2 linked regions of the Callithrix jacchus genome follow. The protein of the gene in region 1 purifies or fractionates together with the protein of each later gene. This does not show direct contact. Links are inferred from orthologs where the notes say so. Each region holds a gene or a part of one and is shown on either strand. Other genes may lie near its edges.

Region 1 (7,407 bases):
AACCACCCCACTGTCTCAGTCCTCTTCCAGTTTTTTCTATCTCAGTGAAAGATACTGCCTACTTGTTTGCACAGAAACCTCAAGGTCCATTCTGACACTGCCTCTTCCTTCCCCTCCCATTCCAACACACCTCTGTGACAACTTTAGTTCCTGATTAACTCTGGGAACCTTCCACTGCTCTCCAACTCCACTGCCACCAGCACCACACCATCCCCCAACACTGTCTTCTCCCTGGATGCCTGCCTGCACTCCTAACCCTGACTTGTCTTCCCACAGCTACTCATACCCACCAGACACACTCCACTGTCCACTGGGAAGGCACGTGGGTCACAGTAAAATTCAGATTTCATCCTGTGTCTCTTGGGCTTACACCATCAGTGGCTTCCAACGGCTCTTAGGATAGAGAAAAAAACCCTTGACATGGCCAGTCCTTCACATGGAGTCTGCCCTCTGCTCACCTTCTACACTCCCCAGTCCCCCCCCCACCCCCCCACTCTCCCTCTGGGCTCCGATACAAAGGCCTTTCCTTGTCTCTTCTCTCAGCTGTACCTTCTGCTTCAGGCCCTTTGCACAGGTTCTTCCATCTGCTCAGGTTTCTTATCCCCGGCCCTCTCGTACACATAGTTCTGGTTTTCTCATAACCATCAATTTCTCAGGGAATCCTTCCCTGACTCCCAAGAAAAAAAATAGATTCCTCCTTCCTGTAAAATGCTTTCACAATAATAGCACACACGCACACGCACACAGAGGGCTATTGTTCAGAGCTCTTCTAAGCATTTCTGCTGAGAATTCATTTACTCCTTATGACAACACAATGAGATAGAAATTATAATTATCTCCATCGTACAGATAAAGAAACTGAGTCACAGAGAAGTTATGTAACTTATCCAAGATCACCTAGTTTGTGAGGCAAAGCCAGAATTTGAACCCAGGCAGTGTGACTCCAGTGCAGCTTTTAAACACTATATTATTCCATAAGAAAACACTATTAATTTTCCTTCCTTTGCCTACTCGAGGTTCGGAACACTGTGTTGCATGGCTATTAGTTTAGCGTGTGTCTTCTCCATTAGACTGCAAGCTCTACAGGAGTAGAGATTGTTCAATCGGCAATAGTAGGTGCTTAATAAATATTTGCTCAAGAAAATAGAAAATGTGAATGTGTATAGGCAGGTAACATTTTCCATCCAAGTTCAGGACAAAGATAAGCACATACCTGGACCTTCTAGGGTTAGGGACTCCTGCTCCAGAAAGCAACGTACTGCCATCAGATTCTCAATGGGTCCATGAAATTAAGAACAGCTGACTCTCATATTCTCCAGCCTACCTCACCTTTTCCCCGCCAGCCTTCCCCCAACAACTATAACAGCCTCACATTTAGTATTAATAGTATGCGCTTTGGTCTTAGCAATCTTTTTTTTTTTTTGAGATGGAGTCTTGCTCTGTCACCCAGGCTGGAGTGCAGTGGTGCAATCTTGGCTCACTGCAACCTCCACCTCCCGGGTTCAAGCGATTCTCCAGCCTCAGCTTCCTGAGTAGCTGGGAATCACAGGCGTGCGCTACCACGCCCAGCTAATTTTTTTGTACTTTTAGTAGAGAATGAGTTTCACCTTGTTGGTCAGGCTGGTCTAGAACTCCTCACCTCGTGACCCACCCGCCTCGGCCTCCCAAAGACTGGGATTACAGGAGTGAGCCACCGCTCATGGTTTAGCAATTTTTAAAAACACAAAACAAGGTCAACCTTTGAAAAGCCAGTCAGACTATCTAACATCCTCAGAGCAAAGTCCCAAACTCTGCTGGGAGTGGGGGTGTTGTAGGCCTTGTCTACTTCTTCATCCTCATGGGCTCTCATTTGTTTCCTCTTCCCCACCCCACCTCGATAGCCCAGCAGCACAGACTGGGTTCTGGGTTTGGGTTTCCTAGGCAATAGCAGGGTGTTTTCTCATGCCTAGACTCATGCAGTGCCCTCTGCCAGTCGTTTCCTTTGCACCCAGCAATTTCTGCTCTGTCTTTATGCATCAGCTTAGATATCTCTTTGGGGTTAGGTGCTCTTCTTTGGGGCGCCTATAGGCTGCATCGGTCCCTGACAATGTACACCAGATATTGAACTATAGCTGCTTAGTTACAGACAGTCCTCTCTGTGAGCCTTGAGGTCATCTGCCATGTATTATGCATCGTCTGAATCCCCCTAGCCTAGCCGGGTGCTAGCCCAAGTTACGGTGCTTACTACAGATTTGTTCAATTAGTGAATGAATGAATAAACTGACAACTCGTGTCTGGTTCATGGGTACCAAAAAATGTGTTAAATGAATAAATGAGAGAGTAATGGCAGTTCGAAGTTCAGGTCTAGAGAAAGATCCAGATTAGGGCGTTCAGAGATGAGTGAAACGCAGCCTTCAGAGAATTAACAAGGAAGATAAATCTCTTCAAGGAGCCAGCCGGAAGGATTAAAAGAGTCATCAATTACACGGCCGGCTCCGGGGTCGGGTCCCTCTCTAGCCCCGCCCACTCCGCGCCAATGGGTTTTGTTTCCCTCTAAACCCCGCCCCTTTCGCTTTGAGGGGCGGGGCCGGCCACTCCAGGAAAGGGCACTACGTTTCCCGGCGCGCCGCGCGGCCGGGGTGAAAGAGGAGCCGGAAGTGGAACGCGCGAGGTCTAAGGGCGCGAGGGAAGTGGCGGGCGGGGACTAAGGAGGGGCGTACAGGTAGCCGGCAGGCCGGGGGTCGCGGGCATGGCCGAGGCCAGGAAGCGACGGGAGCTACTTCCCCTTATCTACCACCATCTGCTGCGGGCTGGCTATGTGCGCGCGGCGCGGGCAGTGAAGGAGCAGAGTGGCCAGGTAAGTGTTCGTGGGCCGTGTGCGAAGGCCGCGTGCAGGATGTGGAGATCAATGGCCCGCGGCCCGCCCTCAGGCGACCCGGCGGGCGCCCAGAGCCGGGTCCCGCCGTGCTCAGCGGCAAGGGCCACGGGTACCAGAGGAGCCGCAACCTCTGCCTCGCCACTGCGACTTCACTTCCCCTGGGCCTCACTTTCCTCATCTGTGCAGTGGGCGGGCCGCAACGTGTACTCGCAGGGGCCGAACTTTGTAATTCCCGCGTCCCTTACCTCCTCCCCCTTTTTGGTAGCGGCTGTTTTAAGTTTCCTAAGTCTCCCGCCACGTGGCTAGGCCCAGCACAGCCCCCCTGGGGCGAGGAGGTTGCTGCGAGATGGATGGCGACCAGCCCTTTGGGGCGCGCCTCGAGAAGGTATCCCACAGCCCCTTAGTTGAGCTGGAACTCAGGCCCTTAACGATTGTCTGTACTGAGACGGACAGCTTTGGGACTCGAACTCGTGGTACAGTCATTTCTTACTTGATTGATTCATTCAGCTGTTAGTCCAGTACTCAGGGTACTTCCTGGGAGATGCTGAGCACCGTCTTCCAGCCCTCCTGGAGCTTACACTCTAGTAGGGTAGAAAAATCAAAGAATCACAAAAGTGAGTATATGCTTAGCACTACATTAAGTGTTAAGAATGAGAGGGATGGGCTGTGCACGGTGGCTCACGCCTGTAATCCCAGCACTTAGGGAGGCTGAGGCAGGCGGATCATCTGAGATCAGAAGTTTGAGACCAGCCTGGCCAACATGGTGAAACACTGTCTCTACTAAAAATACAAAAATTAGCTGGGCTTGGTGGCTGAAGCACGAGAATTGCTTGAAGCCAGGAGGCAGAAGTTGCAATGAGCCGAGATCGTGCCACTGCACTCCAGCCTGGGCGATAGAGTGAGACTCTGTCTCAAAAAAAAACAAAAAACAAAAGACATGAGACGGGTGGCAGATTGCCCTAGCCAGGACTGCCTTTCAAAGCAAGTGGCAGTTGATTTGAGATCTGAAGAAAGGGAGGTGAATATTCCAGGCTGAGGTGTAAATGCCCTGTGGAGGGAGGGAACTTGTGTACACACTGGCCTCGAGAAAGTCCACTGTCTTGAGCCTGGGAGTTTGAGGATACCGTGTGAGCAGTATAAGTCATGATTGTGCCACTGCACTCTAGCCTGGGTGACAGCAAGACCCTGTCTCAAAAATAATTTTTTTTCGAGTCCATAGCAGGCCAGGTTCCATGGCTCATGCCTGTAATCCCAACATTTTGGGAGGCTGAGCTAGACTGATCATTTGAGGCCAGGAGTTTGAGAACAACAGCCTGACCAACATGGTGAAACCCATCTCTACTAAAAATACAGAATTTAGCAGGGTGTGGTGGTGCGCACCTGTAGTCCCAGTTACTTGGGAGGGTGAGGCAGGAGAATCACTTGAACCCAGGAGGCAGAGGTTGCAGTGAGGTGAGATTGAGCCACTGCACTCCAGCCTGGGCAACAGAACGAGACTCCATCTCAAAAAGAAAAGAAAAGAAAGTCCATAGTGGTTGAAGTGTGGAGTACAAGGGCCAGATGCCCCTGGAGAGATGGAGGCAGGGGGCTGGCTGGAGTGGTCTGGTGGGCAGTTTAATATTCCTTGGAAGAGCAATGGAGAGTTTTGAGCTGATGAGACGGTATCCTGAGTAGTCAAATCACTTTACCTTGTAGTTTAGGCTCTGTTTCTAATGCTTACTGTTAGAACCTCCTGGAGGGACTAAAGGGTGAGGGATGCTAAGGCGTTATCTATGCTTTTCCCGATTATCTCTGAACCTCATTTGCTGTTTGTACTACAGTTACACCACTTCACAGGTAAGGGTAGTCTTCATTGGAGCAAAGATATTCTGCCCTCATGGAGCACACATTCTAGTAGGAGCAGACAGGTAACAAATAGAAAAAGTTTAATAAGTTAATGATATAGTATATCCAGTGATGGTTGGTGCTTGTATAAAAATAAGGCAGGCAAGGGATATAAGTGTTATCAGAGTTCAATTATAAGTAAGGTAGTCAGGGAAGCCTCATTGAGAAGATGTCATTTGGATAGCAACCTGAAGGAAAGGAGGGGTGAGCACCTGGAGTCAGTCAGAGGATTAGTTAACAGAGGAGCTCTGCCTGACTCCAGGTGCTGCACCCTCTTGGCTACTCTGCCCAGCTTCCAGACACTCTCCACTCCTGCCCCACATTGCTTAGCCTTTTTGGAGTACTTGATATCCTGGCTTCTTGACATTTACAGAGATAGTGGGCTCTCTGGCCTCTGCCCCAAAGGCAGAAGTTCCCCTTGGTTCCTTCTGCTTCCTCCAAGGGACTGGTATCTTTTGGGCCCAGTCTTTTCCCAGCAGACTAGTGGACTGTGATCATGCCACCTGGATGCCTCATCTGGGCTATGGTTCATGCTTTGGAAATATTGGCTGGCCAAGTCTTTGAAAGCCTTTTTAAAGGTCAAGGGTGGGAGAAACCCTGTCTCGTGCCCTCTAGGCACTGATAGTGCCAGAGAGGCTGGGGGTGCCAGACAGGCTGGGGGCTGAATAAATGCTAGCTTGGAACATTACAACTCTGGCCTCTCAAAGGGGCCTCTCACCATGTTGTCCAAAAAAGTTTTAACTGGAATTGTTTGTCCTTCTTTTCTCTGGAAGGTTTTAGATGAAACTGGCAGGGCCAAGCAGATATACCCAGAGCAAAAAGACCCTCTTTTTTTTTTAAGGGTCTTGCTCTGTCGCCCAGGCTTGAGTGCAGTGGTGCAAGCATGGCTCACTGCAGCCTCGATATCCTGGGCTCAAGTGATCCTCCCACCTCAGCCTTCTGAGTAGCTGGGACCACCAGTGCATGCCACCATTCCCAGCTAATTTTTTTTTAACATGAGACAGTCTCGTTATGTTGCCCAGACTGGTCTTGAACTCCTGGGCTCAAGCGATCTTCCTGCCTCAGCCTCCCAAAGTGCTAGGATTACAGGTGTAAGCCACCATGCCCAGCCGAAAAGACTCTCTTCTAAACCACCTATCTGTGCAAGTCATGAGTTTGGGGAGAGCTGGGCCCAAGGAGGACCCTTACTGTGCTGGGGGTTAATTGTGGCTTTCTCTTTACCTCTCTGCAGAAGTGTTTCCTGGCTCAGCCCGTAACCCTTCTGGACATCTATACACACTGGCAACAGTAAGTGGTGGGGCTGACAGGGTGGAGTAGGGACACCCCAAGCAAATCAGTGTGGAATAAGCTGGGATACCTGTCTGATCTAAGATCTGTCCCTATAGCTCACTGTGGACACCATTGTTGCCTCCAGAAAGCCGGTCACAGCACATGAATGGGGATATCTGGTAGTGGGAGGGGACATTGAGAGCTGTGATCTCTTAAGAACAAGAGCTTCTAACCAGCTTGTTTATTCAGTTGATCAGCATTTATTGATTACCTCCTAAAAGCCAAGTCCTGTTCTTACTTAGTATGCATGTATTGTCACAAGTGAGACAGACATGGTTCCTTCTTTCCTGCAGCTGACATTGTAGTCAAGGAGGCATGAGTCAAAGAATGAAACAAATGAATGTAAAATTACGGTAGTAGTAAGGATTACAAGAGAGAAGAACCTGTTGCCACAGCCACATAAATGGGTAAGCTTCCAGACACTTCATTTGGAGGTCCAGGGGAAGCTTCCCTGAGATGATCTTTGACTTGAGAGCTGCAGGAATTGGGAGAGTGAGCTATGCAGTAGGTATAGAGCAGCAATAGGTACTATGCAGTAGGTACCTGCCAGCGGAAATTGCTAATGCTCAGTCCTGTGGCTGGTGGACAGTACAGGTGAGGCTAGATTATCGCGTGGATAGCCATGCGAGGCCTGGTTATCCATGGTGAGGAATTTTGTCTTTACCCAAGAGCAGCTGGGGCCATGGCAGGGTGAGAAAGTGAGCTGACTGCTCTGCACCATGTTGAGACTAGTCGGTGGACACCGTCATCCAGGCAAGAGCTGATGGGGCTTGAGACGGGGGTAACAGGGTAGACAGTGGATTCTAGGAGTCACAGGGATGAAACCAGGGCCCATGGATGGATGGGAGAGGAAGTATCTGATTGACTCCATGTCTGGCTTATGTATCCATGCATAGAGCTTGAAGGGAAACCAGTTTGCAGGGAAAGATTTCAATGACATGTTGAGTGTGAGATGCCTTTTAAACATGTAAAACTTAAGTACTCTTCAAGGAAGGGGGACTCATCCAAGGATACATCAACAGAGGAATGGCTTGAAAATGGAGAGAGTAATTGTGTTCTCATCAGGCACTGGCCTGACCACAGCTGAATAAGGGAGTGAAGGACGTGAAGATATATCCCCTGAGGAATGGTGCAGAGTATAGAATTGCCTTAGATGACAAGGAGGCAGGTGAGGGATGTGAGGCACCACTGCACATCTTTGAGGACCAAGAATAGTGCATTCTCTGAAGCCCTGGAGACAGAAGTGGGCCCCAAATGGACCTGCTTTAGGAAGACAGGTTTCAGCTTCTGAATATACGGACTTGCTCATCAGAGCTGTCTAAAAATGAAGTGGGCTA
Region 2 (7,721 bases), on another chromosome or scaffold:
TATTAATTTTGATTACACCAGGAATACATAGGTATATTTTTCATAGATCCCAGCAGGTAAAGCAAAATTGTCATCTTGATTCTTCTTCTGCCATCCTTGCTCCTTCACTGGAATTTGAAGTAAATTAAATCATAGTTTCTACTTTGATTTCTACACCAGCTTCCCTTTGGGAGAAAGCCAGAGGATAGGAGGTCAGAGGCAAGGCCCAGAGGAGGCTATGGATTTGGGCATGTGACTTAATTTCTCTGAATATCAGTTTGCTCATTTATAAAAAAGGGAAAAGAGGGCCAGACATAGCCATTACAGGCTTATGCCTGTAATCCAGCACTTTGGGAGGCCGAAGTGGGAGGGTCGCCTGAGACCAGGAGTTTGATACCAGCCTGGGCCACATAGTGAGACCCCATGTCTACGAAAACTAATTTAAAAACTAGCTTGGTGTAGCGGGGCACATCTGTAATTCCAGCTACTTGGAAGACCAAGGCTGGAGGATAGCTTAAGGTGAGGAGTTGGAGCCTACAGTGGCATGATCATAGCTCATTTCAGCCTAAGTGACAGTGAGACCGCAACAGGGGGGGAATAAAAAGAAAGAAAAAGGGCAAAGAGCACTTATGTCATAGACTTGTATCAAGTAGCAGCACAGCCCCACCTCATGGAGTTTACAGGCCAGTGGGGATGTCCAGTATTTGGAATCCTGCATGTTGACTCCACAGTCTACCAGTCTGTTCAGTGTCCCTAAATGTCAGAGCCCTGCTTCGCAAGCAGTGAGAAGGGAGGGGTTACCTGAAACCACCTGATGCATCTTTCTGAACTGTTTCTTTTGCTCGGAAGTAATTAAAAACATCATTTTTACAGTAAAACAAATACAAATATTTAGTGGAATGAAGAATTTGCATTGAGTTTTAAAATTTAGGGCCAGGCACGTTGGCTCATGCCTGTAATCCCAGCACTTTGCACGGCCAAGGTGGGCGGATCACCTGAAGTCAGGAGTTCAAGACCAGCCTAGCCAAAATGGTAAAACCCTGTCTCAACAAAAATACAAAAATTAGCTGGGCATGATGAAGGGTGTCTGCCTCCCCAGTAGGGGAGGCTGAGGCAAGAGAATCATTTGAACCCCAGAGGTGGAGGTTGCAGTGAGCCGAGATCATGGCATTGCACTCCAGCCTGGGTGGCAGAGCGAGACTCCGTCTCAAAAATAAAATAAAATAAAATAAAAATAAATAAATTTAGATGTTTTGGGCATCAGCATGGGGAGATCCATTGGAGATCATCTGGTTTGGTCAAACCTATTTTATCAGTGGGGAAACTGATGTGAAGCCTGGCGGGACCTGGCCTCGCTATCCTGGTTAGGGACTTCCTGTCATCAAGGAAGAGTCTGGTCTGCTCCTTTCCAGTTCTCTGACCCCTGCAGAAACAACAGGTGGCTTCCTCTTCTTTCCCTGTCGGGGTGACGGTGAAGCCCAGAGGCCAAGACTGGGAGGAGGGTTCATCCATATTCTCTAGCTCTTAACACTGCCCAGAGGTGGGCCACCCTGCCTACCCATCAGCCTCCCCCTGCCCCTCTGCCAAATCTGGACGTAATTATAGTAATTATGCTGCATATAAACAGTATAGGTAACTGCTTCTGGACATAATTACAGGAGATGTTTGCATACCGACAACAGCATCAGAGTAAATGATAGCTTCCTTTTCCCTTAATACTCAGATATCAGGGACCTATTAGGGCTAATTAGCCAAATCTCAGTAGTGAGGGTGTAGGAAAAACCTTACAATTTCCCACTACCTGCAAAGCAGGAAGGCACCTCAGACAAAGCAGGGTCCCAGCCAAGATTTCACAGGACATCAAGAAGCCTGCAGAGGAGTGAGCTAACATCTGCTGGGCACCTACTGTATGCAGGTACTCAGGGGAGGTCAGCAAACACAAGCGAGTTCTTTCAACCTATGAACAATTCTGCAGGCTGATATTAGTGTATCCTCACTTTACAGGTCTGGACATGGGTTCTCAGAAGCTTGGTGTACAGGGTCACCCGCAGCAGGCCACGGCGCTGGGCATGGACGCTTTCCACCGTGCTACCCAGCGGGAGCAGCAGGCCAGCTCTGCTTTCTTCCTTTCTCGCCTCTTCTCACTTCTCGAAGCTTCCTCTTTCCGGGTGGCCTCCTGCAGCCCCTGCTAACCTCTGGTCTCTGCTCAATTCCCCAGCGTCAAGGCCGTCTACTGCCCCCTCCACCCCTTCTTCCTGTCCCCTAGGGTGGTTCGGTGTTACCTCTCCAGATGAAGGGGGTGGGGTTGGGTGAGGTGGGATGGGATAGGGAAGGGTGGAGCACAGGGCAAAGGCCTTGCCAGACATCCTGGGGTCTTCTGCTAAGCTAGGGGAGGCAGGGAGCTCGGCCTCGGGGTCGCCAAACCCTCGGGTTCCAATCACCCGCACACACAAAGGCTGCCCCGGCATGCGCGGGAGAGCGCGCTCGCACCCACGGCCGTGCGCACACACGCACAATTGCACAAAGACGTGCACACTCCTCCATCCACACCAATACACTCCCTAACAGGGCTCGCACACAGCCGTGAGCCATCACGTACACCAAACCACCACCACACACACACACACACACGCACACACACACACAGGCTCACACACACACGCGCGCGCGCGCACACACACACACACACACACAGGCTCACACACGGACGCACACCCGGGGGGACACCCCCAAACGCGAACCTTGGGGCCCTGACGCGTCCAGCCGCACTGCCCTGGCTCGCTGGGCGGTGCGCGCACACGCAGACTCGCACACACAGACACACACGCACACACCCCGCGTGGTTCCACGCCCCTGGCAGCGGCCCGGGCTCTGCGCGGCTCCGCGCGGCAGGCGGCGGGCGGGGACCGGGGGCGGGAACGGCGGCAGCGGCGGCGGCCGGGAGAACGGAGGAGGCGGAGCAGGGAGCCGGGAGCGGGCTGGCCCGCGCTCCTCCTGCTGGCCGGGGATTTTCCAGCCTGGGCGCTGACGCCACGGACCTCTCTGCGACCGTCGCGGACCATGGGCGACAAAGGGACACGGTGAGTGCAGGGTGGCCGCCGGGCGCGGGGCGCGTGGGGGCGACCTCGGCGAGGGCATGGGCGGGGGCTCCGATTGCGTCCTGGTTCTACGTTCAGGGCCACCCTGGGATCACGTACCGGTTCTCCTCCACCCGAGGTCTCCTGTGTGGTCTCCGGCAGGGCCGTGGGCGGTGGAGACTAAAGGGCAAGGGCTGGGCCGCCCCATGTGGGCCGCGGCTCCTGGCCCGGACACACTCGCAGCTCGCTGACACCCAGCACTGGCCAGCAGGCGCAGAGACGCACGGAGGCAGACTGACACACAATACACGCACGGACCCACTAACCCGTGGCACATGCATGCTGGTGCACACACTGGCAGCCGCTGGCACACGCTCATCACGCAGTGGCACACCGTCACACACGCCTCAGTCAACACTTTCTTGCTGACAGCCTTGTTGGCATGCACAGGTCACACTCCAACACACACCAGTTCTAACACACCCTAGTGCTGGTATACACGTGTGGGCATACACTGATATGCACACTGTCACCTGCACTCGCTGTAGCAAACACCCTTGCTGGCACACATATCACTCTCACTGGCACACACACTTGTGCTGCTGGCAGGTCTCACCACAGCGGAGCGCAAAGCCACACCAACACTGACCCCCACAGACACAATCAGACTGATGCCTGCAAAGACTGGCACCCTACAGGCACAAGCTGCCAGCTCCGAGGCCCGCTGACACACATGCTCCAGGCCCCACATGGCCAGAAGTGGAAATACACACATCACACAGGGTAGAGCACTCCCCACCACCCCCAGCCTTGGGAAAACAGATCCCATCCCATCCAGATCCCATCCATACCCTCTGCTCCCTTTTCTCTGACCTCCTGAGGAGTGGCTGGCCAGGAGCTCTTTTGAACCTAGGGCTGGGAGAGCCCCTCTGTTCTCCTGAAACCTGGCCTGAAAGACTCAGAAAGAGGCAGTCTATGCCTCTGAAAGGGGAAACTGGGATAAAAGGGGAAGAGGCTAGAGCAGGGCAGCCCCTGGGGGCAGCCCTTCAGATAGGACCAGCACTCCTCAGGGGCTCAGCATTGTCACCCAGTTTTCCCCGTTGCCCTCCCTATCCACTAAGTCTGCACATAGCCTCTCCCTGGGGTCCCCGTCTTACCCCCTTTCCATCCCTCTTTCTCATTGTTTTCTGTCTTCCTCCCCTCCTATCCTTGTGTCCACCTTCTCCCTCCTCCCTTCCCTCCCCTCTCCTTGTTTCCATTTATTTATTGAGCTCTTGCTGTATACTAGGCATATTGTGGGGGATCAAAGATGTGCAAGGCCCCTTCCTCCCCTGAAGGAACTAACAAACTAGAGAGACCACCCCAGAGGGCACCACCTTTCAGGGCCACTGCCATCTAAGGCTCTCTCTCAACAGCATGAGAAAGGGCTTCCAGAGATTATTTCCATTTTCTAGAGGAAGAAACTAAGTCTCCGAAGCAACTCAAGCTCTTAATGTTTAGAAACTACTTTCCAACCATCCTCCTGACAGCTCTTCCAGGAGGTTAATTTTCCTTTTCCTGTTTTCTAGCAGAGGAACCAGAGGGTTAGAGTTGTCATGTGATTTGCTTAAGGTCAAGATGGGTTAGAGGCAGGGCAGAGGCTGGAGTCCACTTGGTCATGTCTCTGTGGATGGCCCTAGGGCACTGCCAGGCCCCTCATGTGCCAGGGAGGGGTGCTCTGCTCTGTGCTGGAGGCCCAGGCCTTTGAGGGAGACTGCAGAAGATCATGGTGTCTCTGAATGCACCTCGATGGCTAGTCCCCATTGCAGCTGGCTGGCCAGCACTGTTACCTAGGCCTCTGTCCGCAGGAGGAAGATGTGTGACTCCCTCCCCAGCCGCATCCATCTGCCCCGAAATTAAGACTCTCTTGACCCATGAGGTCGGGCTTTTCTTCCTGCAGGGCATGGCAGGGAGTCTGAGCCATTCTCCCCTCCCGTGTCCTTCCTGGGCTGCCTTGTGATCAGGGTGACTCAGCCTCTCTTGGGTCTCTCTGTATCTCCCTGTGACTTGGGGGGATAAGTGTCATTGCTGTCCTGCTGACATGGATTGTCAGAAAGATGAGGACACCATGGGCTTCCAGGCACCTGCTGGAGACCCTGTCTCCGAGGCCAGGGTATTTTCCATGACTCCCCCTGCCCTGTCTTGAACCCACTGGTGGACCTTTGGGACATTGGGCAATTGCCTTTGCCTTTCCAGACCTTAGTTTCCCATTTGTAAGTTGAAGCTATATCAATACTTCCATTTTAGGGCTCCCCTTGTATACTTACTGACTTTGCTGGGCAGGGATAGAGGCACTGCCTGAAGCCTAGAGCCAAGGCCTGGCTAAACCCACCTGATGGTGGCCCTGACCTCCCCCTCAGACTCTCCTGCAGTCCTATGAGGACTTTCTTTCCCTTTTCAGACAGTTTGCCAAGTAATTTGGAAGAGAAGGGCAAAATCAGGAATGGGCTGTACCCTGTTTTTTTTTTTGTAAGCCATGAGATTCTACTTTATCTATGACTAAGAAAAGGAATCTGCAGATATCTAAAACTGAACATCAGGAACTATCGAATCCATCCCTCCATCTGGAATTGCACCCCCATATGAAAGTGATAATGAAAATTTTCATTTAGTTATTTATTTTTTTTAAAGACAAGGTTTCACCATGTTAGTCAGGCTGGTCTTGAACTCTTGACCTCAGGTGATCCACCCACCTTGGCCTCCAGAGTGCTTGGATTACAGGCATGAGCCACCACGCCCCGCCAATAATGAAAATTAATCAGAAACTGTCACTGCCTTCTAGGAACTCCCAGGGCCAAGGGGAAATAGGTGTTAAATACCTGGGCAGGGCTGCAAATGGTAGCTCACTCCCGTAATCCCAGCACTTTGGGAGGCTGAGGTGGGCAGATTGCTTGAGCTCAGGAATTCAAGACCAGCCTGGGCAACATGGTGAAATCTTGTCTCTGCAAAACATACAAAAATCAGCTGATGATGATGGCGCACACCTGTAGTCCTAGCTACTCAGGAGGCTGAAGTGGGAGGATCACTTGAGCCCTGGAGGTCAAGGCTGCAGTGAGCCATGATCACTGCACCCTGGTGCAGCCTGAGAGAGTGAAAAAATAAAAACAAAATATCTGGACAGGGTTAGTTACAGGGTAGGAGTATGATGGTTGCTGTAAGGTGCTCTGGGAACAATCTTGTATTCATTCAACAAATGTTGAGTACCTTCTGAGTGCCCAGGGCCTGGGGATTCAGAGAGGAGAGTCTACACTGTCCTCCAGGGATTTAGAGCAGAGCAGGTGGTTAGAAAGCAGGATGACATGCGTTGTGGGAGGCTAAAGGAGAAGTCCCCAACCCAGGCCCAGGCAGGGAGCATGGCCAAGGAAGCCTTCCTGGAAAGGAGGTTGTGTTAGAACTACTGAGCTTCATCCGAAAGGATGAGGAGGCCAAGGGGGTGGGATTGGGAATGACATTCCTGGCCGAGGTTGCACAATCTGCAATGGCTCGGAGGCAGGAAGCAAGGTGTGCAGCCCAGGGCCTGGATGGGGATGACAGTGAGCCTTAAGAGGTAAACACAGGCCGGTCACCAGCAGCCTGGGAATGTCAGGCTAAGGAGATAGCATTTTCTCCTGAAGTAGATGGTGATTCAGAGAAGAGTATGAGGCAGCAGAGGGATGCAAGCAGATGCTTTCATTTCAAAGAGATGTCTTTGGCAGCGCCAAGGGGGATGGATGGGAAGAGCAGGCCTGGAAGCAGGGAGACCAGTGAGGAGGCTGGGGAGAAACCTGAGAACTGAGACTGCGAGCTCTGAACTTAGGCTGCAGAGAGGATAGAGCTGAGAAATATGAATATGAATAAGGAGGTGGAGTCCATCAATCTTGCTGGTCGATTGGCCCTTTGCCAGGTGTCTGGTGTGTGTTAGAATTACACACATAAGCCGGGCACGGTGGCTCAAGCCTGTAATCCCAGCACTTTGGGAGGCCGAGGCAGGTGGATCAAGAGGTCAAGAGATCGAGACCATCCTGGTCAACATGGTGAAACCTCATCTCTACTAAAAATCCAAAAAATAAAATTAGCTGGGCATGGTGGCGCGTGCCTGTAATCCCGGCTACTCAGGAGGCTGAGGCAGGAGAATTGCCTGAACCAGGAGGTGGAGGTTGAGGTGAGCCGAGATCGCGCCATTGCACTCCAGCCTGGGTAACAAGAGCGAAACTCCGTCTCAAAAAAAAAATTACACACATAATCTCAATGAATTCAACTGTAATCTGGTAATGTGGGGATTGTCGTTCCCATTTTGTAGATGAGGAAACAGACTAGGAGAGAGTATTTGTCCACTGCCATTCAGCCAGCAGAGGCTTAAGAACTCAGGCCCACAAAGCCCTCTCTGCTACTTGACACTTTGCCCAAGTGAGGGGGCCTTGTCTGGCTCACAGTTGGCCTCCCTGGCAGCTCCCAGCCTCAGGTTGTGCTTTGCTGTTCCCACTAACTCAACAGACAACATGAAGGATCAGATTTAGACAACAAGAGGGACTTCCTGAGAGGCAATGGAAGGGAGTGGAATTTCCTTTCCTGCATATGTTTATGAATTCTTCTTTTTTCAGAGAAAGGAGGGTGATGGGGACATGTAACCACCAGCTCTCTGTGAAC

The links.
Region 2: the proteins of TCOF1 (region 1) and ARRB1 purify together in Homo sapiens (affinity purification with western blotting; 5 studies listed by BioGRID and IntAct, with this or other methods). This does not show direct contact. The link is inferred for Callithrix jacchus from reciprocal best matches to the Homo sapiens genes TCOF1 and ARRB1.

The regions. Positions count from the first base shown.
Region 1 is NC_133503.1:49,071,324-49,078,730, forward strand, and holds the start of TCOF1 (treacle protein), read left to right. Parts: upstream 1-2,647; 5' UTR 2,648-2,728; coding exon 2,729-2,836; intron 2,837-5,972; coding exon 5,973-6,028; intron 6,029-7,407.
Region 2 is NC_133511.1:65,596,001-65,603,721, forward strand, and holds the start of ARRB1 (beta-arrestin-1), read left to right. Parts: upstream 1-2,926; 5' UTR 2,927-3,039; coding exon 3,040-3,059; intron 3,060-7,721. UniProt on the Homo sapiens protein: Functions in regulating agonist-mediated G-protein coupled receptor (GPCR) signaling by mediating both receptor desensitization and resensitization processes.